4 linked regions of the Oreochromis niloticus genome follow. The main gene of each other region encodes a partner of the protein of the gene in region 2 in a complex. Links are inferred from orthologs where the notes say so. Each region holds a gene or a part of one and is shown on either strand. Other genes may lie near its edges.

The links. The genes of interacting proteins can lie anywhere in the genome.
Region 1: smarcc1a (region 2) and phf10 share a complex: the UniProt entries of both Homo sapiens proteins name them as parts of the neural progenitors-specific chromatin remodeling complex. The link is inferred for Oreochromis niloticus from reciprocal best matches to the Homo sapiens genes SMARCC1 and PHF10.
Region 3: smarcc1a (region 2) and dpf1 share a complex: the UniProt entries of both Homo sapiens proteins name them as parts of the neuron-specific chromatin remodeling complex. The link is inferred for Oreochromis niloticus from reciprocal best matches to the Homo sapiens genes SMARCC1 and DPF1.
Region 4: smarcc1a (region 2) and smarca2 share a complex: the UniProt entries of both Homo sapiens proteins name them as parts of the BAF complex. The link is inferred for Oreochromis niloticus from reciprocal best matches to the Homo sapiens genes SMARCC1 and SMARCA2.

Annotation. Positions count from the first base shown.
Region 1 is NC_031965.2:25,544,976-25,552,895, reverse strand, and holds the start of phf10 (PHD finger protein 10), read left to right. Parts: upstream 1-4,709; 5' UTR 4,710-4,844; intron 4,845-4,967; 5' UTR 4,968-5,110; coding exon 5,111-5,191; intron 5,192-6,479; coding exon 6,480-6,589; intron 6,590-6,880; coding exon 6,881-7,011; intron 7,012-7,113; coding exon 7,114-7,197; intron 7,198-7,288; coding exon 7,289-7,413; intron 7,414-7,539; coding exon 7,540-7,689; intron 7,690-7,920. Other genes in the region: mucin-17-like, read right to left, coding at 1-2,000, 2,391-4,443. UniProt on the Homo sapiens protein: Involved in transcription activity regulation by chromatin remodeling. Belongs to the neural progenitors-specific chromatin remodeling complex (npBAF complex) and is required for the proliferation of neural progenitors.
Region 2 is NC_031976.2:31,814,538-31,822,309, reverse strand, and holds the start of smarcc1a (SWI/SNF complex subunit SMARCC1), read left to right. Parts: upstream 1-4,683; 5' UTR 4,684-4,761; coding exon 4,762-4,947; intron 4,948-7,183; coding exon 7,184-7,303; intron 7,304-7,400; coding exon 7,401-7,486; intron 7,487-7,772. Other genes in the region: fucolectin-1, read right to left, coding at 953-1,107, 1,455-1,740, 2,412-2,475. UniProt on the Homo sapiens protein: Involved in transcriptional activation and repression of select genes by chromatin remodeling (alteration of DNA-nucleosome topology).
Region 3 is NC_031979.2:8,686,828-8,694,218, forward strand, and holds the start of dpf1 (zinc finger protein neuro-d4), read left to right. Parts: upstream 1-4,180; 5' UTR 4,181-4,225; coding exon 4,226-4,431; intron 4,432-7,391. Other genes in the region: si:ch211-11n16.2 (zinc finger FYVE domain-containing protein 1), read right to left, coding at 600-706, 848-1,065, 1,161-1,383, 1,608-1,889, 2,609-2,728. UniProt on the Homo sapiens protein: May have an important role in developing neurons by participating in regulation of cell survival, possibly as a neurospecific transcription factor. Belongs to the neuron-specific chromatin remodeling complex (nBAF complex).
Region 4 is NC_031977.2:35,623,448-35,630,960, reverse strand, and holds the start of smarca2 (putative global transcription activator SNF2L2), read left to right. Parts: upstream 1-4,302; 5' UTR 4,303-4,456; intron 4,457-7,065; 5' UTR 7,066-7,095; coding exon 7,096-7,329; intron 7,330-7,513. UniProt on the Homo sapiens protein: ATPase involved in transcriptional activation and repression of select genes by chromatin remodeling (alteration of DNA-nucleosome topology).

The DNA.
Region 1 (7,920 bases), on a different chromosome or scaffold from region 2:
TAGTTTTTTCACTGCTCTCTTAAACTTTTGGAAAGGTGTTTTCCCTTTCGGTTTTTCATCATGACTCTCAGAAGCCATAGATTCTAGTTCACTTCCAGCACTGACATCCTCTGAGTGGTCCTCACAGCTGTCTGTTGACAAAGAATTGTCAGTGATTGGTTGACCAGCCTTTGTGTTGTCAGGTTCGTCATGTTCTGTTGGCAAGTCTTGAACTGTCTGATCTGATAATGTCTGAGTGGACGTTTTCTTTGTCGTGTCAAGGGCGTTCTCTGAGAGTACTGGTACTGACAACTGTTCTTTCATAGTGGCAGCAGCCCGCGTAGTCTCATCATCAGTTAAGGTCGACTCAGGAGAGCCACTTGATTGACGTGCAGTTTCATCGTCAGGTGCCTCTGGAGAGCTGGTTTTCTTTTTGTGAAATAGTTTTTTCACTGCTCTCTTAAACTTTTGGAAAGGTGTTTTCCCTTTCGGTTTTTCATCATGACTCTCAGAAGCCATAGATTCTAGTTCACTTCCAGCACTGACATCCTCTGGGTGGTCCTCACAGCTGTCTGTTGACAAAGAATTGTCAGTGATTGGTTGACCAGCCTTTGTGTTGTCAGGTTCGTCATGTTCTGTTGGCAAGTCTTGAACTGTCTGATCTGATAATGTCTGAGTGGATGTTTTCTTTGTCATGTCAAGGGCGTTCTCTGACAGTACTGGTACTGACAACTGCTCTTTCACAGTGGCAGCAGCCTGCGTAGTCTCATCATCAGTCAACGTCGACTCAGGAGAGGCACTTGATTGACGTGCACTTTCATCGTCAGGTGCCTCTGAAGAGCTGGTTTTCTCTTTGTGAAATGGTTTTTTCACCGCTCTCTTCATCTTTTGCAAACGTGTTTTCCGTTTTGGTGTTTCATCTTGACTCTCAGAATCTGTTGATTGCACTTCTCTTCTAGTGGCAATTTTCTTTTTGTGAAATAGTTTTTTCACTGCTCTCTTAAGCTTTTGGAAAGGTGTTTTCCCTTTCGGTTTTTCATCATGACTCTCAGAAGACATAGATTCTAGTTCACTTCCAGCACTGACATCCTCTGAGTGGTCCTCACAGCTGTCTGTTGACAAAGAATTGTCAGTGATTGGTTGACCAGCCTTTGTGTTGTCAAGTTCGTCATGTTCTGTTGGCAAGTCTTGAACTGTCTGAGTGGACGTTTTCTTTGTCATGTCAAGGGCGTTCTCTGACAGTACTGGTACTGACAACTGCTCTTTCATAGTGGCAGCAGCGTGCATAGTCTCATCATCAGTCAACGTCAACTCAGGAGAGCCACTTGACTGACGTGCAGTTTCATCGTCAGGTGCCTCTGGAGAGGTGGTGTTGGGTGTTGTCTGACTAGATTTTTTCTTTAATATACCACAAGAGCTCTCTGCCAGGCGCCTTTCAAAAAACGTTTGCAAGTATTGTTGGGTTTCTTTTTCAACAAACTCATCAGCATTCACAGAAGAGGCATATTTGGCTTTCCAAAAGTCTATATGCATTTTTAGCGAATAGAGATCTCCTGATACCTTCTGAAATACCTCTGAGAAAACTGTGTTTTGTGATTCATCAATATACTTTTTGTTGTCTTTGCCCGATTTGAGTAGGGATTTACCAGTTGTATCTTCGTCACAGACATTTGTTGACAAAGAGCCATCAGTGAACAGTTGACCAGCATTTGTCCTGTCAGGTTCATCGTTTTCTGTTGGCAAGTCTTGAACTGTTTGATCCGATATCGTCTGACTGGATGTTTTCTTTGTCATGTCAAGGGGGCTCTCTGACAACTGCTCTTTCATGAAGGCAGCACCCTGCACAACCTCATCATTAGTCAACATTGACTCAGGAGAGGCACTTTCCTCATCAGACACCTCTGAACTGGCTATTTTCTTTCTTTGAAATTGTTTTTTCACTGCTCTCTTGAAGTTTTGGAAGCGTGTTTTCCCTTTTATGGATTGCATTTCACTTCCAGTGGCTTTTTTCTTTCTATGAAATTGTTTTGTCACTGCTCTTTTGAACTTTTGGAAACCGATTTTTCCTTTCGGTTTTTCATCGTGATTCTCAGAATCCGTGGATTCGAGTTCACTTCCAGCACTGACAACCTCTGCATTGTCCTTACAGATATTTGTTGACAAAGAGCCATCAGTGATCGGTTCAGCAGCATCTGTCCTGTCAAGTTCGTTGTTTTCTATTGGCAAGTCTTGAACTGTATGATCCGATATCGTCTGACTGCATGTTTTCTTTGTCATGTCAAGGGGACTCTCTGACAACTGCTCTTTCATGAAGGCAGCACCCTGCACAACCTCATCATTAGTCAACATTGACTCAGGAGAGGCACTTTCCTCATCAGACACCTCTGAACTGGCTTTTTTCTTTCTATGAAATTGTTTTGTCACTGCTCTTTTGAACTTTTGGAAACCGATTTTTCCTTTCGGTTTTTCATCGTGATTCTCAGAATCCGTGGATTCGAGTTCACTTCCAGCACTGACAACCTCTGCATTGTCCTTACAGATATTTGTTGACAAAGAGCCATCAGTGATCGGTTCAGCAGCATCTGTCCTGTCAAGTTCGTTGTTTTCTATTGGCAAGTCTTGAACTGTATGATCCGATATCGTCTGACTGCATGTTTTCTTTGTCATGTCAAGGGGACTCTCTGACAACTGCTCTTTCATGAAGGCAGCACCCTGCACAACCTCATCATTAGTCAACATTGACTCAGGAGAGGCACTTTCCTCATCAGACACCTCTGAACTGGCTATTTTCTTTCTTTGAAATTGTTTTTTCACTGCTCTCTTGAAGTTTTGGAAGCGTGTTTTCCCTTTTATGGATTGCATTTCACTTCCAGTGGCTTTTTTCTTTCTATGAAATTGTTTTGTCACTGCTCTTTTGAACTTTTGGAAACCGATTTTTCCTTTCGGTTTTTCATCGTGATTCTCAGAATCCGTGGATTCGAGTTCACTTCCAGCACTGACAACCTCTGCATTGTCCTTACAGATATTTGTTGACAAAGAGCCATCAGTGATCGGTTCAGCAGCATCTGTCCTGTCAAGTTCGTTGTTTTCTATTGGCAAGTCTTGAACTGTATGAGCCGATATCGTCTGACTGCATGTTTTCTTTGTCATATGAAAGGGGCTCTCTGACAGTACTGGTACTGACAACTCCTCTTTCATAGTAGCAGCAGTCTGCACAACCTCTTTGTCAGTAAACATGTTTTGAGACTTACCACGGTTCACGGTGTCTTTGGCTGAGTTGGGTAGAGATTTACTGGGTGAGCTTACTTTCTTGCCTTGCACCATGTGATGTTTAACTGGTAAAGTTTTCCTAGTGTTAACGTTCACAGTGGGTGCCTTTGATGGAATACGGGGGAGTGGCCTCTGTGCTAACATGGGTGACAAACCAGTAGGAATTACACCTGGACATTTGCTTCCTGGTCTTTTAGATAGATTGCTCAAATTTTGTTGGTTTGGGTGATTTTGGGTCCTTTTCCTGTCTGGCACCATGAGATTAACTGGTATATTTTTCCTAGTGTTAGTACTCACAGTGGATGCCTTTGATGGAATACGGGGGAGTGGCCTCTGTGCTACCATGGGCGACAAACCAGTTGGAATTACAGCTGGACATTTGCTTCCTGGTCTTTTAGATAGATTGCTCAGGTTTTGTTGGTTTGGGTGATTTTGGGTCCTTTTCCTGTCTGGCACCATGAGATTAACTGGTATATTTTTCCTAGTGTTAGTACTCACAGTGGGTGCCTTTGATGGAATACGGGGGAGTGGCCTCTGTGCTACCATGGGCGACAAACCAGTTGGAATTACAGCTGGACATTTGCTTCCTGGTCTTTTAGATAGATTGCTCAGGTTTTGTTGGTTTGGGTGATTTTGGGTCCTTTTCCTGTCTGGCACCATGAGATTAACTGGTATATGTTTCCTAGTGTTAGCACTCACAGTGGGTGCCTTTGATGGAATATCAGGGAGTGGCCTCCGTGCTAAAGTGGGCGACAAACCAGTAGAAATTACAACTGGACATTTGCTTCCTGGTCTTTTAGATAGATTGCTCAAGTTTTGTTGGTTTGGGTTATTTTGGGTCCGTTTCCTGTCTGGCACCATCCTAGTTTTAACGGTCACAGTGGCTGGCTTTGGTCCAGTACGGCAGGCTGGCTTCTGTGGTAACTTAGGCAAAGAACCAGTAGGAACTGCACAGAGACAGCTGCGTCCTACTCTTTTAGATTTATTCCTCATTTCTTCTTTTTTTTGGCCAGGGTTTGGTGTGACTTTTGGCAGGCATGTTTCTTCTTGCGTTCCCACATTTGAGAAATGATGTATCTCATATGTGACATAAGCCAGGCAAATGGTAGAAGTTTTACTGCTTTCACCAGATGCACTGGATTTTTCTGTCATTTCTATTCTGTTTTTTTCCTCACTTTCAGGCATTTTAGACATGTTTTCGTTGGGTGTTTTTCTTTTGTTTGTTTTTTTAAGTGGTTATTCTCTTGTGCTAAATTTTGCTTTAGTACAGATGTTCTGTGTAGAGCAAAGTAATATGTCTGTATAATTAAGGATCAGCTTCTATTTATGCCTTTCCACATTCTATGATCAAAGCCACATGCACCTGATGTCATGAGGCATGTTCCTTTGATCTTATCTTTCAACATTCTATGACAAAAGCCACATGCACCTGATGTCATCATGATGTTGGCCTGGGCAACCGCCCATGTCGCCCATATCAAAAACCGCTACTGTGTGGTTCAAAATTCGTTGCAGGTACTTTTTATGAGGGAATTCTTGGCCTATGTCAAAACTGGCCTAAACCACGTTGTCAAAGCATGACACGTGAACAGCATGTAAGGGTTAATATAACTAAAACTTGTTCAAACTTCTCATCAAACGTAGTTTTAATTTATGCAGATTGTAACGACCATGAATTTACTTTAACTGTCTATAATAATTAAAATTATACCACACAGTCCCAGTCCTGTCCTGAAGCCAGCCCTCCAGTCCAGCAGGTGTCGGCCATGTTTCAACGCTCGCCAACAGCCGCGAAACTTCTCAACGAAGAAGTAACGAGCTAGTATGCTAGCCTAGCTGCAGAAATCATTTAGCAAAAAATATGGCTGCTGTGCTCCCCGTCAGGCCGCCCTGCGATAGCAACCCCGCTACCCCCGGAGCACAATCCATAAAGGTGACATTTGTACGCCATAACAATATTAATAATACTAATAATAAAAACATGAGTCTCTGTTAGCTCAGTTCCCTCGGCTCTGCACGGCTATAGCCTGAGCTAATAGCTAACTGGCCATTTATGGGACACTTTAGTCCATGATTGACGATCAGTAGCCACATTAGCGTCACTCCTTTGTTTTCAGCTGTGTAGTAATTGGTTAGTTAGCTCGTTCGGTTTGAATTTCCTCGTTTTATGTATCTGCAGTGATCTGGTCTGTGTACTTTTTGAATGATCTAAGTAAAAACGCGACGTTTAATGTTGTAATATTATAAGTGATTTGACAATTTGTGCTCCTTCTGTCAGCCAGCTTTGGCGTGTAAACTCATACATTTGTTTTGGTCTGTATTTAGCACCATTATAAATTAACTCTACCGTCAATAATATTCAATAAAGCTTCGTGTTTATGTAAGAGGGGAAATATCCTTATCTGAAATAATTTTTTAGTGTGTTTCAAAATGAACCCTCTGTATTAAACCGGCTAAATCTCTAAATGTTTACTTTTGCAGTTGTTTAAAAAGTTTTCATCAGGCCGGGAAATACTATCATGTCTAAAATAGCAGTAGTGTGCACTGTGTGTGATTTTTATCTCATGCCTGAGGAGCATATACAGAAAAGCACACTCAGTTTAAATACACTCTGTGATTCATTTATAGTAAAAGTATGCACTGCTCAGCCATTAAGTGGGCCTGATTTGTGGATACAGCAAGCTAAACAGAGATGCCCAGACCTCTCTCTCCCCGGCCCCCTCTTCTATCTTTTCTTGGTGGGATTCTAAGATGTTACCAGGCCAGCTGAGAGAAGTAATCTTTCCAGCACATCCTGGGTCTTATCTTAAAATATGAAACAACTCATCTAGGAGGTCACATTAACATGGTGTCAACCAAGTAATCCTGGGAGCTTCTAGTGGGGTCTCTCAAGGCAAATTGGTCCTACGCGATGATAGAATGTAAACTCTGTCAGGAACCAAGTGGGTCAGATGGGCCCACCACTTGCAGAATCACATGTTAAAATTTGCTGTAGCAACAGGAAGATGAATCCTGCAATTATGAGTCCTAGGGTTCAGGTTTACCAAGCAAAAATTAATTTGGGCTCTATTCATTTCTGTGTCATGAAAGTGTCCAATACAAAATCAGAAAGCTCTTAAAAGTTTTGTGGATATACTTCATGCTCTGGAGTTTTCAAACATCACATTATGTAATGTTAATGTTAAAAATTAATGTTAAAAATTAATTCTGATTTTTCTTTTCCTCTGTAGGAGGATGTCATAGAAGAAGTGTCCAATGATGGCAGCCAACCTCCCAAGAGAAGGAGAATGGGCTCAGGGGACAGCTCTCGAAGCTGTGATACCTCAAGTCAAGATCTTGGGTAAGCTGGTTTAGCATTCAGCAAGAAACATCCACTGGCATAATTTTCAAGCATTCTTGACAACCAAGTAGGACAGAAAATTTGTTGTTACCATATGTCACATTCTTTTTTTATTTTACTATATCCCCAAAATATACTTGTATATGATAAACCCTAAAAGCTGTAACTGTCAGTATTGATGTCTATTTAGTTCTTCCAGTGGCGATTTTCTTGTCTATATCAGCTAAGATTAATCTCACAAAATCTTTTCCAATCATCAAACTCTGTTGTCCCTCCAACCTTCCTTTCCAGTCCGACGTATTTCCCAGCAGAAAACCTGACGGAATACAAATGGCCACCAGACGATACAGGAGAGTACTATATGCTGCAGGAGCAGGTCAGCGAGTATCTGGGAGTCACGTCGTTCAAGAGGAAGTATCCTGGTAAGAAGTGAGATTTTTTGTGTTTATCTGTTTTTTGTTGTAAAGAGTTACTCTAAGATATTAACTGGTGGTGTTGGTTTGTGCTTTTCTGTTTCTTTTTAGATATGGAGAGGAGAGACTTGTCCCACAAAGAGAAGCTCTACCTTCGTGAACAGAATGTCATCACTGAGACACAATGCACTCTGGGTAGAAACCAGTCCTTCAAACTCAGACTCAACCGCTGTTCCAGTTGTGATATCAGAAGGTAACATCTTTCCTTTTCTTTCCTTTTCTTCAGGTTTGACAGCTCTGAGGAGTGATGAGGTGATCGATCTGATGATAAAGGAATATCCCACCAAACATTCAGAGTATTCTGTCATACTGCAGGAGAGGGAGCGACAGAGAATAGCAAAAGAGTACTCCGTAAGTTCACAAGCAACAAAAAAAGATCCTGTAGAAGTAGGGCCACAATATTTTCATCTAAAGTGTAATGAAAATCTTCTGCATACATCTCCAAATATATTTCTAACATTCTTTGTTCTTTCATAGCAAATGCAACAGCAGAACCCTCAGAAGGTGGAGGCCAGCAAAGTCCCAGAGTACATAAAGAAGGCAGCAAAAAAAGCTGCCGAGTTCAACAGTAACTTCAACAGGGAGCGCATGGAAGAGAGGAGAGCTTACTTTGACCTCCAGACACATGTAAATCCAAACTGAAGGGGTTTTTTTCAGGGTTTTAGTAAAAGCCCAATAGACGGCTTAATTTAAATTTCAGGCATTTATCAAAAAAAGAAAGTAGAGCAGATGTCTGTCTCCCAAAGCCAAAACCAGCTTGGCTTCCTCTTTGGAGGCTATTGTTTCACTTACTTCAACTGGAAATTCTCCAGTTTTATGCCCTAGCGGTGCAGGTTTTTCTCTTAAAACATCATTACT
Region 2 (7,772 bases):
TGGTCACTACCCAAAGCTCGTGGCCATGGCTGAGGGTTTGGGCATATATTTACCAGTAAATCTAGAGCCTTCCTTTCAAGCTCATCTATGTTTTCATTAGAATCAAAGATTGCAGCGTTCACTTTATTGCTAGAGCCACGCCACTTCTCCAATAACTGGACAGTAGTGAAAATATATGCTCTGACTTCTGATAATATTCCCTAATGGAATAATTTTTCTGTGAGCGAAAAACTTGTTGTTTACGTGACCAGATTAGGATTTGTCAGATAACTATAATTTTCAACACATTTCTCTTCATGTCAGTGTTGTATTCTAGAAATGAGAAGTTACTTTTGTAAAATGTTTTGATCAGAGTTACCAAATGCAGTAACGTCCAACAACATACGAGTACAGAGATGAGTCCGCTCCCAGAGACAATAAAGAGATCATTAGTAACCTTTGCTAGTCCTGTTTCTATGCTTTTGAATTATGAATCCTATTTTTTCTTTTTAGGCTGGACAAGAAAGTTGGATCAAGTAAAGGCTTCTGAATTAATGATTTAAATACTTCCACCTTAAAAGCCTTTAGCTTCTTAAAAAAAGATGAACTGATCATATTTAAAATCAAAGTATTGATTAATGATAAAGAGTTCTTTATAGGAATGTGGGCTAACAGATGTATTGATAGTGTCACTGAAGGCCTTACTGAAGTTAGTTCATAGAAATCAATAGGAAATAGTGCTGTCAGCGTTAATCTCGTTTATACAATACAATAGTATTTCTTTTTTTTGTTTTAATTTAAATTAAAAAAATTCATGAAGCAAACTCTTTGTCATCATGGTTACAGTGATGAACAGTAATGATAATAAATATCTATTATTAAACTGCTTTAATATCAGCTTGAAAGTTTGGATACCAGAGTTTGGCGATAGAGCTGCATACCGTGCAGCTCATGTAGTAGTTCACATTCTCACCAGTTGGAGCGTGATATCCGTAGACTTCCACTTCACAGAGTGCGAGGATCCTTTGTGAACCAGGAAGACTCAAAGTTACATAACGCCCCTCCACACGACCAGCGAAATTCACAGTGTAGGATTTGCCTGCACCAACTTCTGAAATTTTTCCAACCCTAACAAAAAGTGTGTGAGAAAATACAAGTTACCATGGCAGCAAATATCAGAACATTTGATAGTCAGCGTGATCATTTTCAATTAGTGGAATTTGCTGACAAAATTTACAAAAACTGTAACCTGATATTCTCTATTTTAATATATAATAGGATGATTTAATATAGGAATCTATTATAGGGAGTGCCAATAAAAAGAATATGGGCAGCTAACAATGTCAGTCCTACAGCAACCTCTCCTGTTGCCGTTCAGGAAAAACAGAAAGAAACAAACACTGCAAAGGTAAAAATGAGTAAAATGCCAAATCACAACATTGTTGCTAATTCCTTATTGCTCTATATTTACTAACTTTGGGTTTATTAAGCCATCATTATTCAAAGAGTTGCCTATGTGGATCTCCAGCCCATTGAGCCTTTCATGACAGCAGTCTCCTCTGTTGGTGATGGTGAGGGAAGTGACAATGTAGGGCTCGAGCAAGTCCACTCTCCACCAGGGGTCGGTCTGTTGATTGGTGTGCGAACATGATCCATGGCGAAGGTCAGAATCACGGTTTCCATCAATTGCAGCGTAGGCAGCCGACAATACCTCATTGATACGGGTTGACTGGGTTGCTTTGCCACGCAGGGCCACATTTTCTGGAAATAGCAGAATGCAAATGAAAGATATCATGGAAGGACATGCATTCAAGCAAGCAGCTGAAAATGAGCAGCCATTCAAATGTACCTCATTTAGTCACTTCCTCATGTAGTTAGCTTGATAACTCTGTTTACAGTAATACAGTGACTGTAGTATATGAACATATTTGGATAGGCATATTTGGTAGAGCTGCACAATTATCAGCAAACACAACTGGTTAGTTTGCTTAGTCAGCAAAGACTACCTATGATTCAAAATGATTACATAAGATGCTGAATTTGGTGAGCCAAAAGAATGGTTCGAAAGAATGTTCTTACTGTAGAAACTGAAAAACTGACTCCTTAATGTGTTTTTTGGAAGGTTTTTTTTGACATCCACATCTCACGTAAGACAATGATGTTGCTTAAATGTCTCATTTAATAATTTGCATACTTGTGGTAAAGGAAAAATGTTTTTTCTTACTTACATGAAACATTCAGCTCTAAACTCTAGAAACTGCAGTGACTGCAAATAACTAAGCATATTATACTTTGTTAAGTTTCTGTTACTTCACTCTCTATCTCTACCTGGTGATAAACACGTTGCCTCTTATTATTACACTTCTTTTTTTTTACACATAACTACTTTTCCTTACAAAAAAAGAGTCCATATACATCCAGATCATACTTACGATAGGTGCGTGCTGAGGACATCCCCAGGAGAAGGAGCAAAACCAGTGCTGAAATGTGTTTCATTGTTCCTACTGTTCACACTGAGAAAATAGAAACTTACATATTTTTTAAAGCCTAAACTAAACTTAAACAAAAATAAAACGCATTTATTTAAAGTAAAAACAAAGAGTGACCCTCTTAACCCCCTTAGAGGATATTATACGTCTTTAAATGAAAACTACATACCTTATAATCAGACGCAGATGAGGAGCTGCTGTTAAGGATTGTTACTTATATTCACATCCAACCAGGGCACATGAGCTTTGTTTTTCAATAAGCCACCGAGGACTTTGTCCTTTTCCTTATAGAGATAAGGCTCATTTCAGCTACCAAACAAGATAGGGTATTGGCAGTTCCTGATGTTTTGGAAAAATGCATTGGTAAATGTATCTCTAAGGTTTATGGTACCATGCGTACTAAAACGTAAAAAGGAAAAATGATGTAAAAATAGAAAAAGTGGCAAGATTAATAAAAACAAGAACAAAACATTTCACAAAGACTTTAGAAAAAGTAAAATGGGTTTCATATACTCAAGCCTATCTCAAGTGGGTTAAATCGTAAAGTCAATCTGACCCCAACCTTAGTAATAAACTGACTCGCTTCTGGTATATTCAGTTTTCAACAAATATAAGCAAAATATGAAAATTTATGCTGAATATGCCACACTATTGCACTATTGTAATTTATTCTCATTTATAGGGCCGTGCTAATATTCTTGAAGCAAAAAAAGAGCTCCTGTTCCACTCCCTGTGCTTCGTGTACAGCTTTTTCTGTTGAATATAAAGGATTTTGCTCACTAATCTACCAGATATTTATCAGCTGGGGTTTGAAATTCCTAGTACTGGTATCATAAAGTGCCGTTATCAGCTCAGCTTGGATTTAAACAGTACACCCCTTTTACTGGGCACATGCCACATTTTTTATCTCTTGTGCTTGATTAAACTTGTGATGGGTTTTAACAAACTACTTTTTTTTTTAAATTAGTGGATTTAATTAGACTAACAGAAAGAGAGAAATGTAGAATGTAGTGCAATTTTACTGTTCAACCAAAAACAAATAAAGTAAATCAATAAAAAATAAAATAACCATTTCACCACTTTTTGGAAACACTTTCTTAACTTTTAGATGATATGTTAATGTACTTTATTTACAAGAAGTAAACCTATGTGAAGACAGCTTTATTCTCTTATTCTTGAACAGACATAGATAGATAGTTGCTGAAATCTACATGTTATTGAGGTTTTATTTACATCACGGTGTAGTCATGTAAACTTGCTCCACCTCCTGGCTCTGTACAGACACAGGCACAAACTAAGCTGAAAAGAGTCTTGTATTACCTGACAAAAAGTAATCTCTCTTGTTTGTGCAAGAGGTTAAATCTGACCAAAGCTGGTAGGCAAAAAAAGTGTCACCACAAGATGGCGCCATCCTGACTGCTGCTCGCAAACAGTCAAGTTTGTCTGTCAAATTACATGAAAATAGTTCATTTATACTGCACCAGTATAGACAATAGCTTTGAAAAGTAAGAGTGCTAATTTAGTACATATAACCCCCCCTCCAAAAAAGTAAGACTGAACTCTCATATAAGTCTCATATTATGTTTGAGTAGTTAAAGCAGGGAAAAAAATCTGTAAGCAACACCAAAAAAATTATGTGAATTAGTTTACATACAACTTTCTGTTTTGTTACTATAATGTGGCTACTTGGATCTTGCTGGCAAAAACACATTCACTGGATTATAAAAGTTCATACGAAGATTCAAATCTATATGTTGCAGGAAAAAGTATCAAACCACATGAGAACAACGGACAAGAGTAATATAATAATAATGATGATAATCAAATGAATGAATAAATTTTAGACTTTAATCTTAGATTTTTTTAAACAGTTTTTTTTCCTCTTAGTTTTGTGAATTTATAACCATAAAGAGTACAAGATTTTTCTTTAAAAATGTACTATTTTAATTTACGTTTTTTGAAATTTTTGACTTGAATTTTGGAAATTGATATTTTGTACTCCGCCAAATAACTTATAATGGCTATTATTAAGTTATTATATCAACCCGGTCCCCCCTTTTTTTTATTTTACATACCATGGCCCCAATACGCCGTCTTACTTTTAACACAAACTACCTAAAAAAAAACAGGAATAACCTTCTCAGGTGCCTACATATCCCATGGACCATCTGATATTCAGGCTCGCGAGACTTCAAAATGCTCAACACGTTTGCGGCTGCGCAATGTCATTCGAAAACTTGCACGCTGAGGGACGCCGTGGAGGAGAAAGACAACGCAGCGAACAAAACACACAATGGCGACGGCGGCGACAACGGCAGGCGGAACGGGCTCGGGCGGACCGACCACTGGCCCCGTCGGTGGTTTAACCGCAGTGGGACGAAAGAAAGATGGTGGTCCGTCTGCGAAATTTTGGGAAAGTTCAGACACGATATCCCAGCTGGAGACTGTGCGACTCTGGATCGGAAAGCACTACAAGAAGGTAAGCTAGCTGCCCGCTCCTCCATTGATTTCTATGAAGGCCCGCGTCTCGCTAGCACAAAGGGGCGCTCATGTTTTAGTTAGCTGCAGCCACCCAGAGCTAAGTAGAGTTAAGTTTTAAGAGTGCTTCTATATAATTTTGTTTGGGAGTTCACCGTCAGTATACTGCCCATTGTCCTAGACCGATAGAGTTATCAGTTCTTGTTTATCAAATAGCTATAGTTAGCTCGCTAACTGCCCATTCAATGTTGCTACTAATATGACGCTCAGGGGGGAAATGTTTACAAACGAGCGACACATAGCCGCGTATAATTTTTTAACCCGTATGTAATAACTTTCTCATTAAAAAGAAATAATAATAAACCAAACTTTCTTATTAGTTTTTCAAAAGGCCCGAGATGCTAACCTGTATGTAAGTCACGGGACATACCATGCAGAACTTATAATATTAGCTAAATAAACCCCAGCCTCCTTTTTATGCCATCTTAAAAGGTACTTTACTTAGAAGATAATTATCTACTTCACTGCGTGCTGTTTGCAGGCCCAGTCCTGTTCCATGCTGTCAGTGTGTTTAGTTTTGTCAACACAGCAGCATAGCACACCGTGCAGGTTGCACTTGCCTACTGAATTAGCCAAACAAAGAATGCTCCTCTTGTCACATCAGGCTCTCATTCAAAACCACTGACACGTTGTGCCCGCTCAAGTTATAGCAGAAACATTATTCAAATGAAATGGCATAGATAAGGGCTTGTGAGTACAGCGTTTACACGCAGATGTATATTACAATATTTAATATATAAACTTGGCTTTTTTTAAGCATATGCACTGTTCAATAAATTTGCCTTTAAGAATAATAAATACATCCTTTTGTTGTTTTTTGTTGTTGTTGTTGTTGTTTTTGCAAAGATATTTATGTGAGTTATTTGAGGCCATATAGCAGTGGAAGGTCTTCCAGCTTTAAATGTACTTTGTTGCTGTTGACTGTGATCTTTCTGGTCAGTGTTTAGTTGTTGTGTTGCATTAATTTTGCATAGACTAAATCTAAAATAAGCCATTGAAACCTTGTGTCATTATTTGGTGATGCAATAGTATATAAATGGGATTCACTAACATTGTCTCTTGGATTACATTGATTTTGCACTGGCTAAACCTTAAAGGATAAAGTCATGACTTGATTTTTAAATTTTTTTGGTCAAGATTGATTCTCTGGAGCAAAAAGATCAGGAAATAAATACCATCCAACTATCCCTCTTGTCCTGCTGGAAACAGGACTTGGATTTCAGGGACGGCAGTCTAAGCAGAAACCTGTTCCCATGCAAGGCAAAAGATATAACAAGTTTAAACAAAAATCATTAGTCTGTTGACTCTCTAGAGCTGCAACTAACAATTATTTTGATAGTCGACTAATCTGCCTAATTATTTCAGTAACTCTTATCTCTGCTTCCTGTAGCCAAACCTCCTGTTCTAGGCTGTAGTACCTCATCTGCTCAAGTCTGCCCACCTGTGAATATCACCCTGTTGTTTTGTCCCCCAGCAAATTAAAATAATGATCCAAGAAACGTTTGAATTTCAAAATAATCAAATGTTTTTTAACATTACTCAATAGTTTTTATATGATTTGGTTCATGAATTCACGATTGGACATGCTCTGGAGAGAGGCTTGCTCTTATCTTTGTGATGATGTTCCCAGCTGCTGATAACCATGCTAATGATGCTCTCCGTCATGACTTAAGCCATCTGAGATGTGCATGAGCCTCTTTACAGGACTAACTTATCTATACCCCACTGCTTAATAATAGTATAGCAAAACAAAACAGAATTGGAGCTCTAGTAAACAACTCTCGTGGCTGCTCATATCATGGTAACAGACTTCTTTTTATTATTTTCTTTTATTACTTAACACATCACAGTAACATAACTTGTGTCGTGTTGTGTTGTATGCAATGTCGTTGTGGGACAGTTTTCCAATTTCATTGTACTATGTATGACTGTGCAATGACAATAAAGAGTTATCTTATTATCAAATGAAGAAGCCCATTCTCAGACTTTTGAGCATTTCTTTGGAATTAATTCATTTAAAAAAAAAAAAATCTAAACCCTTGTAGGTTGTATTTTTCTGTCTTTTGGCCACCTTGATTTGCTTAAAAAAAAAAAAAAAAAAAAGACTGCTAGATGAGATGGGAATCTGTGCCATTGCTATCATGTTACTGATAACTTTTTTCTGTGCCTACTTCCAGTACGTCCAGAATGACTCCCCCTCCAGTAAATCCCTGGCAGGTCTCGTGGTCCAGCTGCTGCATTTCCAGGAAGACGCATTTGGGCGAAGAGTCAACAATCCTGCTCTTACAAAGCTACCTGTAAGCATACAAACATTACATTCTACGAAAATCACCATCACAGTTTAATCCCAAATGGTAAAATGTTCTGTTCTTATGGTTCCTCTCATATCTTCAGGCCAAGTGTTTCCTGGATTTCAAGGCAGGAGGTGCTCTCTGTCACATTCTGGGATCTGTCTACAAGTTTAAGAGTGAGCAAGGCTGGTAAGTTAACTTATGTAACTTAATATGAGCAGATGGGTCTGACATTGATCATTAACTTAAACCCTCCTTTTGAAGTCATTGGTCTTAGAAATATAATTTGAACTATCTCAGTTGTGCATTTTGAAGATAAGCAAAAATCTTAATGGTCTTGTATTTTAGGATGTTGGTTTATGGAGTTAAAAACAAAAAAAAAAAACATTTGCATCAGTTGATGCAAATGGTGTGTAAAAGCCAATACACATAATTTAAGTTATATTTCAGTGTATACTTGGTGATTCTACTACCT
Region 3 (7,391 bases), on a different chromosome or scaffold from region 2:
AGGAAGAAGAGTAGCTAAGAAGCAAAGTAGGTTTCTCTTCACCAAAAATGGAAAAAGAATTAGCACTTATGCATCCCACTGAGGAGGTAGTTAACATCCATGAGAAAAGCAGAGGATTCCCATTTTAAAAGAATATTGTTCTCTACTGTGATTCAATCACAGAGACAGTAAAAGATTGCTGTTCTGAGATGGAAAACTTGAACTATTTGGATCAAACTAAATGAGAAAAAGCTCAGGAAAGGTGGGGTGTGGTTATAATAACAGTCCATCCAAGGTGATTAGGTAATCTGCAAACACCCAGCGCTGGAGATCAGTACAGTTTCCAGATCAACAATAATAATAATACAGGTATGACACACACTTCTCAAACATCTAAATATTTACATAATTTAGGAATTATTCATCTTTCCTTTTTTCAAAAAAGTGACACATTTCATAACAATGCAAAAACAATGCAAAGAGTTAAAAAGACAATTACATAAAGTAAAATTTCAAGCCTCAAAGAATTTGACCTTGTGCTTTCAGGTTTAGGTTGAGCATACGTTCACATTTAAAGGACCAGTTCTAGCTCTTGTGTGTAGACAGTGTTACTGACTTACTTGCAGCTGAGACAGAGAGCTGAGCAGGTGAAGTATTCATCTGGGAAGAAGGAGTACAGTGTCATCTTTTCATCTGATAGTTCTCCACAGAAACGTTCACTCAGAGCCTGGGGAAACAAAAACAGAACGGATTAGAAGACAGAAAACTAGATGGGAGCTGAAAAAAAGGCTGAGGAGACACAAAGGAAGAATTAAAACAATCATATGCTTTTTCTTAAAGGCCTCTAATATGGTGCTTCTTCACTTACTTCTAGTGCGTGAAACACTATTGCAGGCTGGCGGGGGGACCGGGTATGAGTGTTCTTCACTTGCTGCTTGATGGCCTCTAGCAGCCCGCTATAGTTCGTGGGCGGCGTGATCGTCTGAGTGCCTATGTACTGCACTGAGCTGAAGGCCTCTGTCCCCAAACCCAGGTCATGAAAACGCTTCTGGAGGAGTGTGTCTGCATAGCCGGCCATCTTTGAGTCTACAACAGGAAAGAAAGACAATAACATTTAAATTTGTGACACGGGAAATTAAAACCAAGGGAAATAATTATCCTAAAGTTGTGCTTGGAAGTACCTTGGCCCAGGAGTTGCGTGTGTGTTGTTTCCTGGAAGATGATGACTGCAGGCCCCAGAGAGGACAGGGGTACATCCAGACCACAGCGGGTGGACAGGGCCCTTAGCTCTGGGGTGAAATGCTTCAGGTATGCCCCTGAGGCACTACTCAGGAACTGGAACATGTCATTGTGAAGACGCTCTGCCCGTGTGCGATACACCACTATATCCGACACTGCCAGCACCTGAAATTGAAATAAAAATGTATCTACAAATAAGATGACTTGTTTTTATCATGAAAACATTGGAAATGAGAAATAAAATGAGTTTCACTGTTCTGTTTACATGATTAGGATATAAGCATTACCTCAGTAGAAAAATTAACGAAGACAACACTAGAACTCAGAACACAAAATCACAGACTCCTCCAATTATTCCACCCAAACCAAGCAGCAACCGCTAAATTTACCTTCAGCAGCAGCCGCATTCTCTGGTTCTGATTGGCTGCGGCTCCCAAGAGGCCCTCTGTATCCAGCGCAATGAGGCTGAGAGTGGGGTTGTAAGCAGCCCAAACTCCCACAGTACAGGAGCTGGGGGACTTGGAGGTGTAGAAAACAGTCTCGCCATCAAATAGGACGTGGTTGAGCGTGTGAGACTTGCCATCACCGGTGTTTCCAAAGATGGAGAGGACCTTGACGCCCGCTACGTCAGCACAGCCAAGTCGCTCCACGAACTCGGCCTCATCCCGGACCTATAGGATGAGAGGAGAAAGAGCACCAAGAGACACGCTGGTTACAGAGATGAGCTATTTTGTGGCACCGTGATACAATTGAGCAAATTACTTTTACTGATTCTTTATGAACAGTATTATTTATTTAAAACAAAGAAACCAACAACAAAACAAAAAAAAGAACTGCGGGGGATTAGTCGCTTCAATCTTAACGCTAGTTGTTCATACAGATTATCTTAAGTACACAAGAAAACATTATCTCTTGTACTTTGTAACACAGTGTGAGGGTGTCTTCCATGTGGGTCAGCTGTGCTGTATGACTCACCAGGGACTTTCCTAATAACAACCCTGTCTGCTGTTGTGCTGCTCTTATTTACAGCTTAAACTTAATGTTTTTCACAGTATTATAATCAAGACACCATCCACACGTTAAAGCCACGGGCTGTATACAGACAAAGGCTAAAAACACAAGGGGCTAAACACGACGAACATCCAAACACGCTGTTTAACGTCGCATTAGCAAAGCGCCGTGAAGTAGCTAAAGCCTCAACAAACTTGCTTCATTAGCTTCAAGACAAAAAGCTCGATTTAGCTCTGAAAGCAGATTTGGCTCATCCAACATTTTTTTCTTTTCGTCACAAAAGATAGTTAAGGGCCTTCCGTAACAAGAGTCTTCCCCTTTCTAGCCTAGCGGCTAACTGTTAGCCGCCGTTAGCTCAGCTGATGTTAGCTAACTTTACCTGCAGGTTTTCTTGCTCGTCCACGAGCAGGAAGCTCCGGCCGCCGTCGTCGGGTCGGTCCTCTGGCTTCAATGGACTGATCGACAAACTATCCATTTCTTTCATCAGTATATCGGACATCGTTGTTTACTTAATTGAAACGCATTTGTGGCAGCGGCACCAAACAGCAAAGCGAAAGTTTCACATGACGCCTACCTGTCGGTCAATCACAACAACAGCGCGTGGACTATAGGAGGAGCCAGATGGGGGCACGCAGGGCAGCGACGTAAGACGCGCTTGTTTGACTTTGGTCTGTACATGAGCACCACCGTGTGGTCAGCCGCAATACAGCACCTCACATGCCATTCAACAAACTTCCTTCATCAGGGAATGAGAAAGCATAAAATAAAACCATGTGGACCCATGTGCACGGTCTTTTGTAGCCTGTAATATGTATTTTTTTTCTTATTTAAGATTAATGATGTAAACCAAACACAAATAACGTTCATCTACCATTTCTTGCTACGTTAATATAAAATAACACATTTATTATTCTTCACAACTAAAGCATAACGCACAAAATCAAAGTTTCCTTAACTGACAGAGAGTGTTTTATCGGAGCGGTGCTGCCATGCTAGAGCTGCTTGCTAATGTTCATTAAATATTTGTTAGCACAGATCTATAAATATCACATGTCACTGGCTTCAGAGCGGCGCCACTGCTGCTAACATGACATGGAGAAAGAAATTCCAGCATTGCTGCTCTAACGGCTCTGAGTCCTTCCTTCCTTCCTCCCTCCCTTCCTCCCTCCCTTCCTTCCAATGTCTAGGGAATGGAAAATGCCAGCCCAGGCTTTGGCATAGTCGCTTTTAACACCCTTGTCTCTAGCCTGTGTCAAATAAAATCGCCATCTGGGACAGATCCAGCAAAAGATGTAGTATGGGCAAGAAAACGAGCGAGTGCGGGAAGGATGCAATAAAGGATGGCGTGGTTAAGGATTTAGAGAGGGTCCCAGCCTTTCTCCGGGCTCAACTATGAGAGACAAATGTCTGAAAGAATCAATTATAGGCCTACTCCCAACCCATCACCCCTGATTAATGAATAATTAAAGCTTCTCATTGCAGGGCTACCTAACATCCATGAGACTAGCCATGAAGCCGCTAAGATTGCGCAGAAACAACTTCTCTTGATTTTCAACAAATGACTATACAGACCTGTCACAGTTTCCTTAACAAAACAGGCAAACATCTTTGTATGCAGTTAGTTTGTGCTTTTTGCTACTCGAGTATCCAGTTATTCCCTTTACAGTGCAGTTAAGGTGATACCTGACCCAAATTTGCACCCATATCCACAATCATACCTCTGTAAACAAACACAATTTAGTGTTTAGCAGCTATAAGAGACAGAGTCATCATCACATCCAGACAAGGGAACGATGCTTATAGGAGAGACTGACAGACAGTCCTGCAACCCAACCTTAACATAACTGTGGTGGATTTTTTCTTCTTCTTTCTTTTCTATAAATTCGGATGGGGGGTGTGGGGGGGCATTGCCCTAACAAGTCCGAGGCGGGACCGTGGTCCACTTAAACCGCTACCCCCCCTGGAACTTGTAGTACTGTGCTCCTCGGTGCGTCTCATGTTGACATGCATAAAAACTACACTTCCCCAAAGCTGTCACAGAGCGCTCCCGCCTCCCATTGGCTGGCCGCTCCAGCCGCAGCCCCAGAGAATGAATGAAATTGAAATAGCTGCTACATTACATGTACAATACCGGGCTCTGCAGTGTTGCATTCTATCATACTATATCAAAATGGCCACAGCGGTACAGAACCCCCTCAAATCGTAAGTACAACACGTTTCCTGAGTGTTTGCGCTTTTTTCGGGCATTGTGCATGCTGTCACTGTCAATTTAAGCCCCTCAATTTCCCACATATTTCCCCAGCATGATTACCAACGCGTCTATATGCATGCAGTGCATACAGCGGAGAATGAGATAATGTCAGGAGAGGCGAATGAGCCCCGGAGAAAAGTTAGATTTAAAGCTGATGGAGGTTTCTGGGAGGTTTTTTGGGCATGAGTGGTGGGGGGATTATTGCGCGCTCCGATGCAATTCATATAATCATTTCTCTGAGCCAACAGCAGCGTGTGTGCAGGGATATGGAGGAATGCTGGAGGTAGATTTGGGTGACCCGGTATGTCCCTTGCCAGTGCAGCCAGCCAAGATCACGGCCAAAGCCGGGCTGGAGTGGCAAGGCTGTCCGGGAGGAAGGGGGATGGTTTAGATGGCTTTACAGTACCTGTGTGTATATTTTGTTGAAGGGGGGCTGAGAGGGGGTAAACAGGTAGACAGAATGAAGTGCTCCGTTCCCGGGTTTTTAGGCTGCAGCGTTACCTTTACCGCTGGACCTCTTGGAAACGTATAGTGCGAGGTAAATAACGCTCCTCCAAGACTTGCTTTCATCTTCGGCGCTTAGAATAAAGCCTGGAATCCAATCCAAAGCCCGGCGCTTTACATTTAGTGCAGCTACATCACAGCGGACATTTATCTCCACTGACGGACGTTAAAGCGGCGGGTTTCCCCGTGAAGTTTCTTCCGCGATGATCCCCTTTGTGCAGTTTTTTTTTGGGGGGGGGGCGGGGGGGAGAGTGGAATGTCTTTTTTTTGTTTTTTTGTTTTTTGTTCTGAGACTGGTTTCAGCGGAATGCAGACGCCTGCTGCCCGCCTCGGCTCCCGGCCAAAAAGGTGGCTGATGTGCGTCTGTCAGCGGGTACACACGTTCAGCCAAAACAAAAAAACAAAAAAACAATAGCTCGAGTACCTTGGAGTGTTTGAGCACACAAACGCTCCAGCTCAGGCAGTTTGAAACAAAGAAAAGTCACAAGACCTATGTGCCAAAGGAAGGAGGGGGGGAGGCACATCGGATGCTGTGCAGGTTTTTTACCTGAGCAGGGAGATGGGATATAGTGTCTGTCTGTCTGTCAGCTTCTCCGAGAGGCGACATTTCGCGCATTTCCATGAACGACTGCCCTGTACGTGCCTGCTGTGAAAAGCTCCTCACACGAGAGAGGGAACTGGATTTGTAACGGTGCTGATTGGTCAGCGAGCCCTGATTGACTGTGATGGTATTTTGGGGGTGTTTTGGTTCAAAGTACTTGCGCTACAACGCAACGCAGGGACCACAGATATAACGCAAACACGCAGGAGATGAATCATTTATTTTTGGTTTATCTATGCTCTAAAGGGCAGGTATGTGGCAATGCCGATGACGGGAATGGACGGGTGGAAAATGATGGAGGCTCCTCTCCTCTCCTCCACAGGATGCTCATCCAAGCAAAGAAAAAGTGTGTCCAGATTGTTCCCAGAGGCCCTCAGTGGCACCATGTCAGGGGATTAAATTGACTCATTTGCATGGAGTACACACCAAGACACACAGACAGAGAACACAGGGTTTGGGTACGAGGAGGAGAATAGAATGGGTGGAAAAGTGTACAAAAGACAGCAGAGTAAGTGGTTAGAAAGAGTGACTAATGAACTACAGCCCAATTTTGAGTGGTGGTCTTACACTGATTTCTTTTTAAGTGCTTCAAGTTAGACAAAAACCTCCATATTGTTAGCCAGTATCAACCCTGCAGGGATGTTGGATTCCCTTAAAGCACGTGAGAAGAGGACAAAGCTGGATGTATTTATTTATTTATTACACAAGGCCACAGCAATCAAAGCGGCCTTTAATATCTCACCAACTGCATAAATGCCATCATTACGCAGTGTGGGTTTAACTGTGTTCCAGTTACCGCTCTGCAATGGGCTTTTAAACAAGCCCTTGTAATTAGCATGTCTACAAACAAACTTGCTATTAGAGGCTTACAAATTAGGGACCCATCCAGTAAAATGGGCCAAACAACCAGCAAAATTGGGTTCAAAGTCAGCCCTAATAGGGTGGCTGAGCCCTGCGCGCCTGGAGACGACGCCTGTTGTGCCCATGAATGTCCCCAAACCTTGCTGGATCTCTGCGGTGAATTGGCATTAATTCAGTGTATATAAATCTTTGGGAAGCTGCTGGTCCCCACTGTCCAGCTGAGTGTGAGTGGGACACTGTGACAGCCAGTATACGTGCGTGGAGGTACGGTGGAGGGTTCATGTGCAACAGCAAATGAGGGGAGGAGAACACTGAGCTCCATCCGATCTGCTGGGCATTTCCCTACCAGCCCCTCTCCCTGTCTATCACTCACTCTCTCTCTGCTGGATTAGACTCGTTTATAATCTCTCTTTCTCCCTCCCTTTTACTTCCTCTCTGTCCTCCCATCACCCTGCTGCCCTCTCTTCCACTATATGCCTCCCTCCTTCTTCACCACTTTCCCAATCCATCACTAGTTTTGCCATCTCTCGTTTTTATTCAGCCATCTCCTTTCTCTCTCTCCCTCTCTCTCATTTTGTTGTCCATTTTCCTTCTTTTCGGCCTCAAACCATCTGAGCCCTCTCCCCTCCCACCACTCTTCTTTACATTGTGAATCAAGGCATGGCCACTCTTTTAATAAACTACATCGATGGGAAATTCCTACGCATTCTCTCAGATCCCTCGAAACCCCGTTATATAGCTTACAGCTAAGAGTTCCTTAAGATGTATCTACTGTATATTTGGGCCATCCACTGCCAAGAAAGGGCTTTTAGTATACTGTCACCACATTATATAATGTTTCATAAGAGTTATGGTGTTTACAAAAGACACCCTGAATATTTGGGCTTCTGGATGTGTGCTTATAAGTCATCTTTAAAATCCTCTGCAGATGAAAGTCTTTCGGGA
Region 4 (7,513 bases), on a different chromosome or scaffold from region 2:
TGGGTTGGTGATTGAAAGAGACGTCTCTAAGCATCTCTGGTATATATGAGCCTCATACAGCTGTGCATGCTTTGTTTGTACAGATGAATCAAATTAAAAGTAGTCCACATTTAAATGAAGATAAAATAAATCAGTGAATGAGCAACACTGAAGATGGTTTGCTGACTATTTATTTTTACAAGATACACTTAAAAGATAGTTGCCATGACAGCCAAACATCTAATATTAAAATGTTTTAACCATTAATTAATCAACTATTGAACTGATTTTAATTCACTATTATTAAGTCAGCCAGTAAGTAAAATGTATAAAATAAGAGATAAAAATAAAACATACAACAATGTAAAGCAATAGAATAAAACATAAAACAACAAATGAATTAAAAACCTGTTTGTTTAAAAATGGCTTCAGTTGGTTTTTGAAAGAGTCAGTGGAGTCAGTGGGAGTGAATTCCAGGTTCTCTCCCTGAAAGCCCGATCCCCACAAATTTTGAACCGAGTAAGTGTGGCCAGCAGCAGCAGCCTCGTACCTGAAGACCTGATGTTTGAGTATGTCAGAGATAAACTCGGGGGCTGAGACCATGAAGGGCCCAAAAAGTTCAAACTAAAATTTTCTGGCAACCGATGAAGAGAAGCCAAAACTCGAGTATATGTGATTTTCTGTTGGTGCCAGTTTAAAGTTCTGCAGCAGCATTCTGCAGTCTGAAGACCAACCAAACCTGATTTATTAAAATATAGAAAGATAATAATAATAATTATAATTATAATAATCTTTCAGAATAATCAGAAACTTTATTTTATGCTGAATGGTACCAGAAACAGAAGCACCTTTCAAACCTATTCGTTTACTATCAAAAATGATTAGAAGTGGCTTCTAATTGCTGCTGTAAATATTTGGTATTTAAACAGTAAAACTCTCACATGTGCTTTTCTTTATTCAGGTTCCATTCTGCCTTTAAAGAGACTAATAAAGCAAAATAGGATATTTCAAAGAAGACAAAATTGAAGAGCCCTTCTTTGCATTTCTGCTTGAATGTTCTTTTGTTTGACCCTTTATTTAAAAACCTTTAGACTTTGAATAAATTGTCATGCCAGTGATTCCCCGAAGCCTTTTACGGAGGGTTTCAAGGTGAATGGAAGCCACAACCACTAGTCCTTTTACTGACAAATGACTGCGGCCAAGCCCTTTCCTGGCTCGGTGAATTTGAAGGGGGTGGTGGCTTTCACCACAAACTTAATTAGGTTTATTTATTTGGGTAAAATTTACATTCAGGAACCCTGTGCACATCCTTTATAAGGACACGTAAGAAAGGGCAGAATTGTTAAGGAGGGGACGTTAGGACAAAGTTTCGTGAGCAGCTTTGTTTATCGATCTGTGGGGTGCAGGCCATTCAAATGATGGCTGGTCAGGGCTTTGAATACCTTTGAAGGTCATCAAAGTGTCACTGCTCGCGCACAGATAGTTCACATCGAATAAAATTAGTTTTTCAAAAGACTGAAATTTGAAAAATAATCATTAACATTTTTTAATATTTGATATTTATTGCAAATCCTGTTGATTACGTTTCAAAATAATCCTAAAACAGACGAGTTTTGTGCATATTTGTAGGATCTGGTGGATCTTATTTTTTATCTACTGTAAAAAATGAGAAATATAAACTTTCTAATAAACTTTCTAGCACATGCACATTTCTCCTCTTCAGCAGAAGACTGCCAAAAAGTTTTGGGTGTATTAAAACAAAGCCAACAGGGTGTTAAAATAATTTACTTCCCTGAGTGATTCTGAAAGCCTGACAGCACCAGTGTGTAGAAAGAGTCAGCCTGGAAGAAATCCCAGAGAAATATTTTGAATATATTACCATGCTAAAATAGGCTGTAATCGTTATTAATCGTTATTTTAATTCATTTGGATAAGATACACTTCATGTAAATGCAGACAAATTATGAACTGTACTATACAGAAAAAAATAATATCTACTCTGAGTTTAAATAAACATTGTTCAGTAAAAACAGCTTTATCTTCTCATAATGAAAACAAAACACAGTTTCTGATATCAATAGGATGCAAATGGAGCTTTGCTAAACCCGTGCATTATTTGCATGGCTTGCCTTTAAACTCTGCTATTGTCAGACTTACTAAGTTGGTAAATGTAAATGTGTACTGTAGCACTCAATCACTCTGTATTTGGCGTGTTTGTTTAGAGCCCAGGCATGCAGTTCTTCACAGGTGCTTGTGTCAAAGCAGGAGGCCGGCTCACTGAGGCATCCGCTGGTCAGTGTCTCCATCTTGTGTTCACTTGACAAACTGCACAGAGGAGCACTTTCCCTAAGCTGCTTTAATGGTACCACAGCAACAGTGTGCAAACACTGTGGTGTCTAATGCAGTCAGACTGTGTACTGTGACTGACAGCTGACAGTGACATGATCTCTCATATATTGTGGAGTTTTAGAGAAAGTCCATAGAGGCAATGTTGTTGTGATTTGGCACTATGTAAAAAAAATGAACTGAAGGAGTTTTTTTTTAATAAACTACAAAAAGTAACTAACAACATAAAGAGTTCTATGAGATGAAATGTGCAACATCTGCATGTAGTTAGATTTGATTTAATCACTTAATTGATATATTTTAAAGAAGACGATGATTCAAGGAGAGGAGAGCTGTGCTGACTCAGTGCAGCAGTTTTGTCTGATTGTGGAAAGACAAAGACAGCGATGCAGGAAATATCACTGATCATATGTACAAGTGCCACGAGATGATGTATGCTGTGACGTTTAATCTCAGTTTAGGTTTAACAATGTCAACTTACTGTTTATTGGCTTTTATGCTTTTTATCCCTTTCCATATTTTTGCACTTTTAATATACTAGCTGCTCCTCACGGAACCCCCTAAAAGTGTGTAATTTGTTATTTGCTATCAGGAGATTTTTTTATGTTCTGTTGTATGAATTTAAATGATATCTGCATGAAAAGAGGTTGTTTGTTTATATCGTCATTAATGTAGATGTGTATTTATGGTTTTATGGAGGAACAATAGCCAAGTCTAAGACTGATAGCATCGTTTCATTAAATACAAGCAGCAAGAATACAAAGCAAAAAAACATAATCACACTGAAAAGGTACTGATGATACAGCAGGGAGGAGCCTCACCATGACATGGAGTGTTCAGCATAACATTTGCATATTTTTGTTGACCTATGAAATTGAATTACTTAAGATTATAATATGATTTGTTAGTATTAGTGGAATTAATGCTGTGCCCCCCTTCAGACACCCCTCTGCATCCCTTTCTTCACAATTAAACTATAATCTACTCACACTTATATAGTACCTTTCTAGTCTTACTGACCACTTTTAGACTACAAGTCAAATTCTAACCATATATTCATGTAGCACTTTATTCTATACAATTAAAGTACTTTATCTGCCTCACATCCATGCCCTGTTTTGAAGTTGGATTACCCAGAGGAATCCCACCAGGCACAGGGAGAACATGTGAAATCCACAGAGCCGGGATTTGAGCCAAGAACCTTCGTGCTGTGAAGGATGGTGACAGCGGTAACTACTCCATAACCATGCCATGTCACGGTCATATCAACTATCCACATGGTGATTTAATGAAGGACTCTTATTGGTATTTTACTGTGAAATACTGACAGTAAGAAAAAACTACTCATTTATTAGGATCCTTTCAGACAGTTTTCTTTAAAAGAGAATTGACTGACCCACCACTGGCCCAAAGCTCGCCATCCCACGGATGCTACGTTGGATCAGGCCTTCTGTCCATAAAGTTTGCTCTGCGTGCTTTTGAAGCTTCATGTATTAAATGTTAAATATGAATAAAAATTAAATTAAAACTTGAAACAATAAAAAAGTGAGCTTATATTTTCCTGCTGTAGTGAAATAGACTAAGAACATATAAAGGCATACATACGTTACATACATACATATTATACACACAGTGCAGTGCATATATGTGCAGTGTGTATAACTAATTGCTAATTACTCTGATGTTAAACACAATTATAAAAGCAAAGTATTATTTTTTAAGTATTCATTTCTAAAGGCAGGGAGAAGAGCACTGACAGATGCGCACGGACGCCTCTCACAGCATCAAATACGTTATTACAACACAAACCATGAACCGCGCGTTTGTAATAAACTTTTACATGAGCGGGATATTCGTCCAGGCTGCTGCTCTCAAAGTTCCAGCACTGGTTACAGAGCGGACACACGCCCAAAAACAACACGGCAAGAGTGACAGCGATTCAGCCTATCACCGTTTAAGGTAGGTGGGACTTCCGGTGACATTGACAAATCAGTAATGGCGACACAAGAACAACTTAAACATGTCAGCAAAACAACACCGAGGGGGAGTGAACTTATGGACAGCAGTCATATTTTGAAGAAATATTATAAAAATTTCATCTAATTATCTGCAATTTCAATCCAGCGAAAAGGTAAAACGACTAACGGTGGTTCGGTTTTGATGAATACTGAGGTGTAACTACTGTTAGGAACTGCTAACTGCCCAAACTTTCTGACACGGACGCAGTTCGCTGCATGGAAACCAGAGCCAGCTAACGGGCTATGCTAGCTGACGTTAGCAGATGGCTAAGTTACCCAACGATCGAGCAAAGTGGCAGCGAAAAACGGCCGAATTTAGGGCTTTTGTGAAACCACGTGTTTATAAACGCGATACACAAGTTAAATTATGCATCTTTAAATGTTAACGAGGTCATGTCAGGTGCTCGACTTTCATCTTAACTTTGATTTTGTCTGCATATCCGTTATGGCCACCAGTTTTTTGGGGAAGCCATGATCCAATCAGAGTGGGCTCTACAGTTGATCGAGCTAACGTTACTGTAACTGTACAGGGACGGTCGGAAAACAGTGCCGCTGGTCCTCCAACAGCGTTTATCTACGTGGCGCTGATTGTTATGCATGTTTTTTGTTTTTCTTATAGGTGTTTATGACATCGCTGTGTTTTCTAACGGTGCAGATACGTTTTGCAATCACTATGCAGCTCTATAAGTCAGTCATGCTACGGCTGTTGAGACCCTGGAAATTTCTGGCTCATAGTGACACTTGTAAGCAGAACATAACGTCAGACATATGTCAGCTTCTTCTTTCTATATGAAAGAATCCTTTTATGCAGCCTCGGGTTTTATTATTCTCTGTGCAGGAGAGCTTTGCCTTTAACCCTGTGCCCTCCTCAGATTTTGCACCTCTTTCCACACCTTCGTGGACAAAAATGTACACGCACAAAATCTGCCATAAAATCCTCATACAGCAATAATTTTTCCGCGTTTTCATAAATCACCAACTTTAACCTTTTTGAAAATGAGCAAGCGTTAAATGATTTTCAGAATTTTAACCCTTTAAATGCCGGTTTAAACATTGGAACTACTGCATTTTGTTTTTACCCCCCCCATACACACACATACACACACACACACACACACACACACACACACACACACACACACACAAGACGAATTATTTTCCGTATAATTGATAGAATTGGGGATACGGACATGTCAGACATCAGCAACAAGTCTGATTTGAATGGATTTTTTTTTTTGTGTGTGTAGTGCACATGTATAATCATAATCAGCATACTTTATTAATTCCTAGGGAAATTATGTGGGTTACAGTTGCTCCAGTACAGTAACATTAACAAAAAGACTAGACTATTTAACAATACAATATGTTAAGATATAATAAATAAGGAATAATACACACACAATCTGCCATAAAATCCTCATAAAGAAATATTTTTTTCTGTCTTTAATTTTTCATAAATCGCTTAATCAACTGGACTTTCTCTCAAAGCCACACATACATCACATATTCAAAGCCTGGGTATTTCGGTTCATATTTGTTCATATTTCACATGTTCTGTTGTGTTTTCAGTGTTGTTGCAGTTTGCATAATAAATGTTCCCATTGATGAATTAGATGTTGTTTCACACACACATCCATACAAATCACTCTTGGGGCTCCCTGGTGGTCACAGGAATCCATAATACAACTGGCAAAAATACAAGAACTTCATGCATTGGCCTACTGTGGGGAAATGGTTGAATATGGTGAAAAATGTCAAATATCACTGCTTTTCTTCCAAATAAAATGTTGACATTACAGAATGCATGGTTTTATACTGCGATGCAGAGAGATTAAAAAGTGTTGTTTCAGTGGAAGTGAATGAGGCATTTTTGTCCACGAAGGTGTCGAGAAGGATTATCAGGCACTACACAAAAAATAATAATAATGCAATCATGTTTATAATAATAATGCTGCTGATGTTTGACATGCCCAAGACTCTAATCACCACCAATGTCCTATTCCCATACTATTTATGATATGGAAAATATTTAGTTTATTCAATAAATACTTAATAATTCCAATGTTTAAACTGGTATTTAAAGGGTTAAAATCCTGAAAATAATTTAATGTTGAAATTTTGAAAAGGGCTCAAGTTGATCAAGAGGTTCAGAAAGGGTGCAAAATACATAAACAGGGTATGAATGACATGTAAAAGTAAAAGACACTAAATGTCATAAATTTGACTAAATAGAAGATTTCTTGCAAAAATGCATGCCATGAACCAGAACACAGCCAAAACGATCACCATATTAAAAATGCCCGAGGAACGAAAAAGGTTAAAAATGCAGCTTGCATTTCAATTAAAATGAGATTCTTTAGACATAATCTCTAGAAAACACGTGCATTTACACACTCAAAACATGTTATTATTATGTTTAGAGTTTAAAAGCATATGAAATGCTCCAGAAATAAAAGCTTCTACAAAGTATCACTACACCCAAGAAAAGAGTCATGCAATAAAGAGCAGCTTCTTAGGTTATCATAATCAGGTTTAACTGTCACACAGGTGTTGAACTAACTCAGTGGCTGTTTCCGACATTCTTTTATCACATATAAACATGATTGACGTTGTTCACAAACAACAGTTAACATATTAAAATCCATCTTCTGATGGTATGTGCCTCATCTTGTTTTCATGGAATTAAAATCACATCAGTCTTGTTCTCATTTTCCTCCTCTAGCTGTCTGGTACCTTCACAGGTATTCAGTAGATGTCCGGCCCCTCAGAGACATCAGGTGGTATGTCGCATCCTGGCCCTTCACCTGGGGCGGGTATGTCCCCAGGGCCCATCTTGGGCCCCAGCCCTGGACCAGATCCCTCACCGAGCTCTGTTCACAGCATGATGGGCCCCAGCCCTGGACCCGGAACACCCAATGCACCTCATGGCATGCAGGGCCAGGGACAAAGTGATTACTCTCAGGACAGCATGTATTCTATGCATAAGGTACAGTCTGCTACAAACTATGTCGTGATGTCATTACTGCCATTGAAGTAGATATTTATATCACTCTAATGGATTCAGTTTTTTTAACATTTCGCTTTGCTCACTAATAAACTGACCAAACTAAAACAAGGAAAGGAGGAAAAATTGGGAAGAAATGAAATATTTTATTTATCCATTTTAGTAT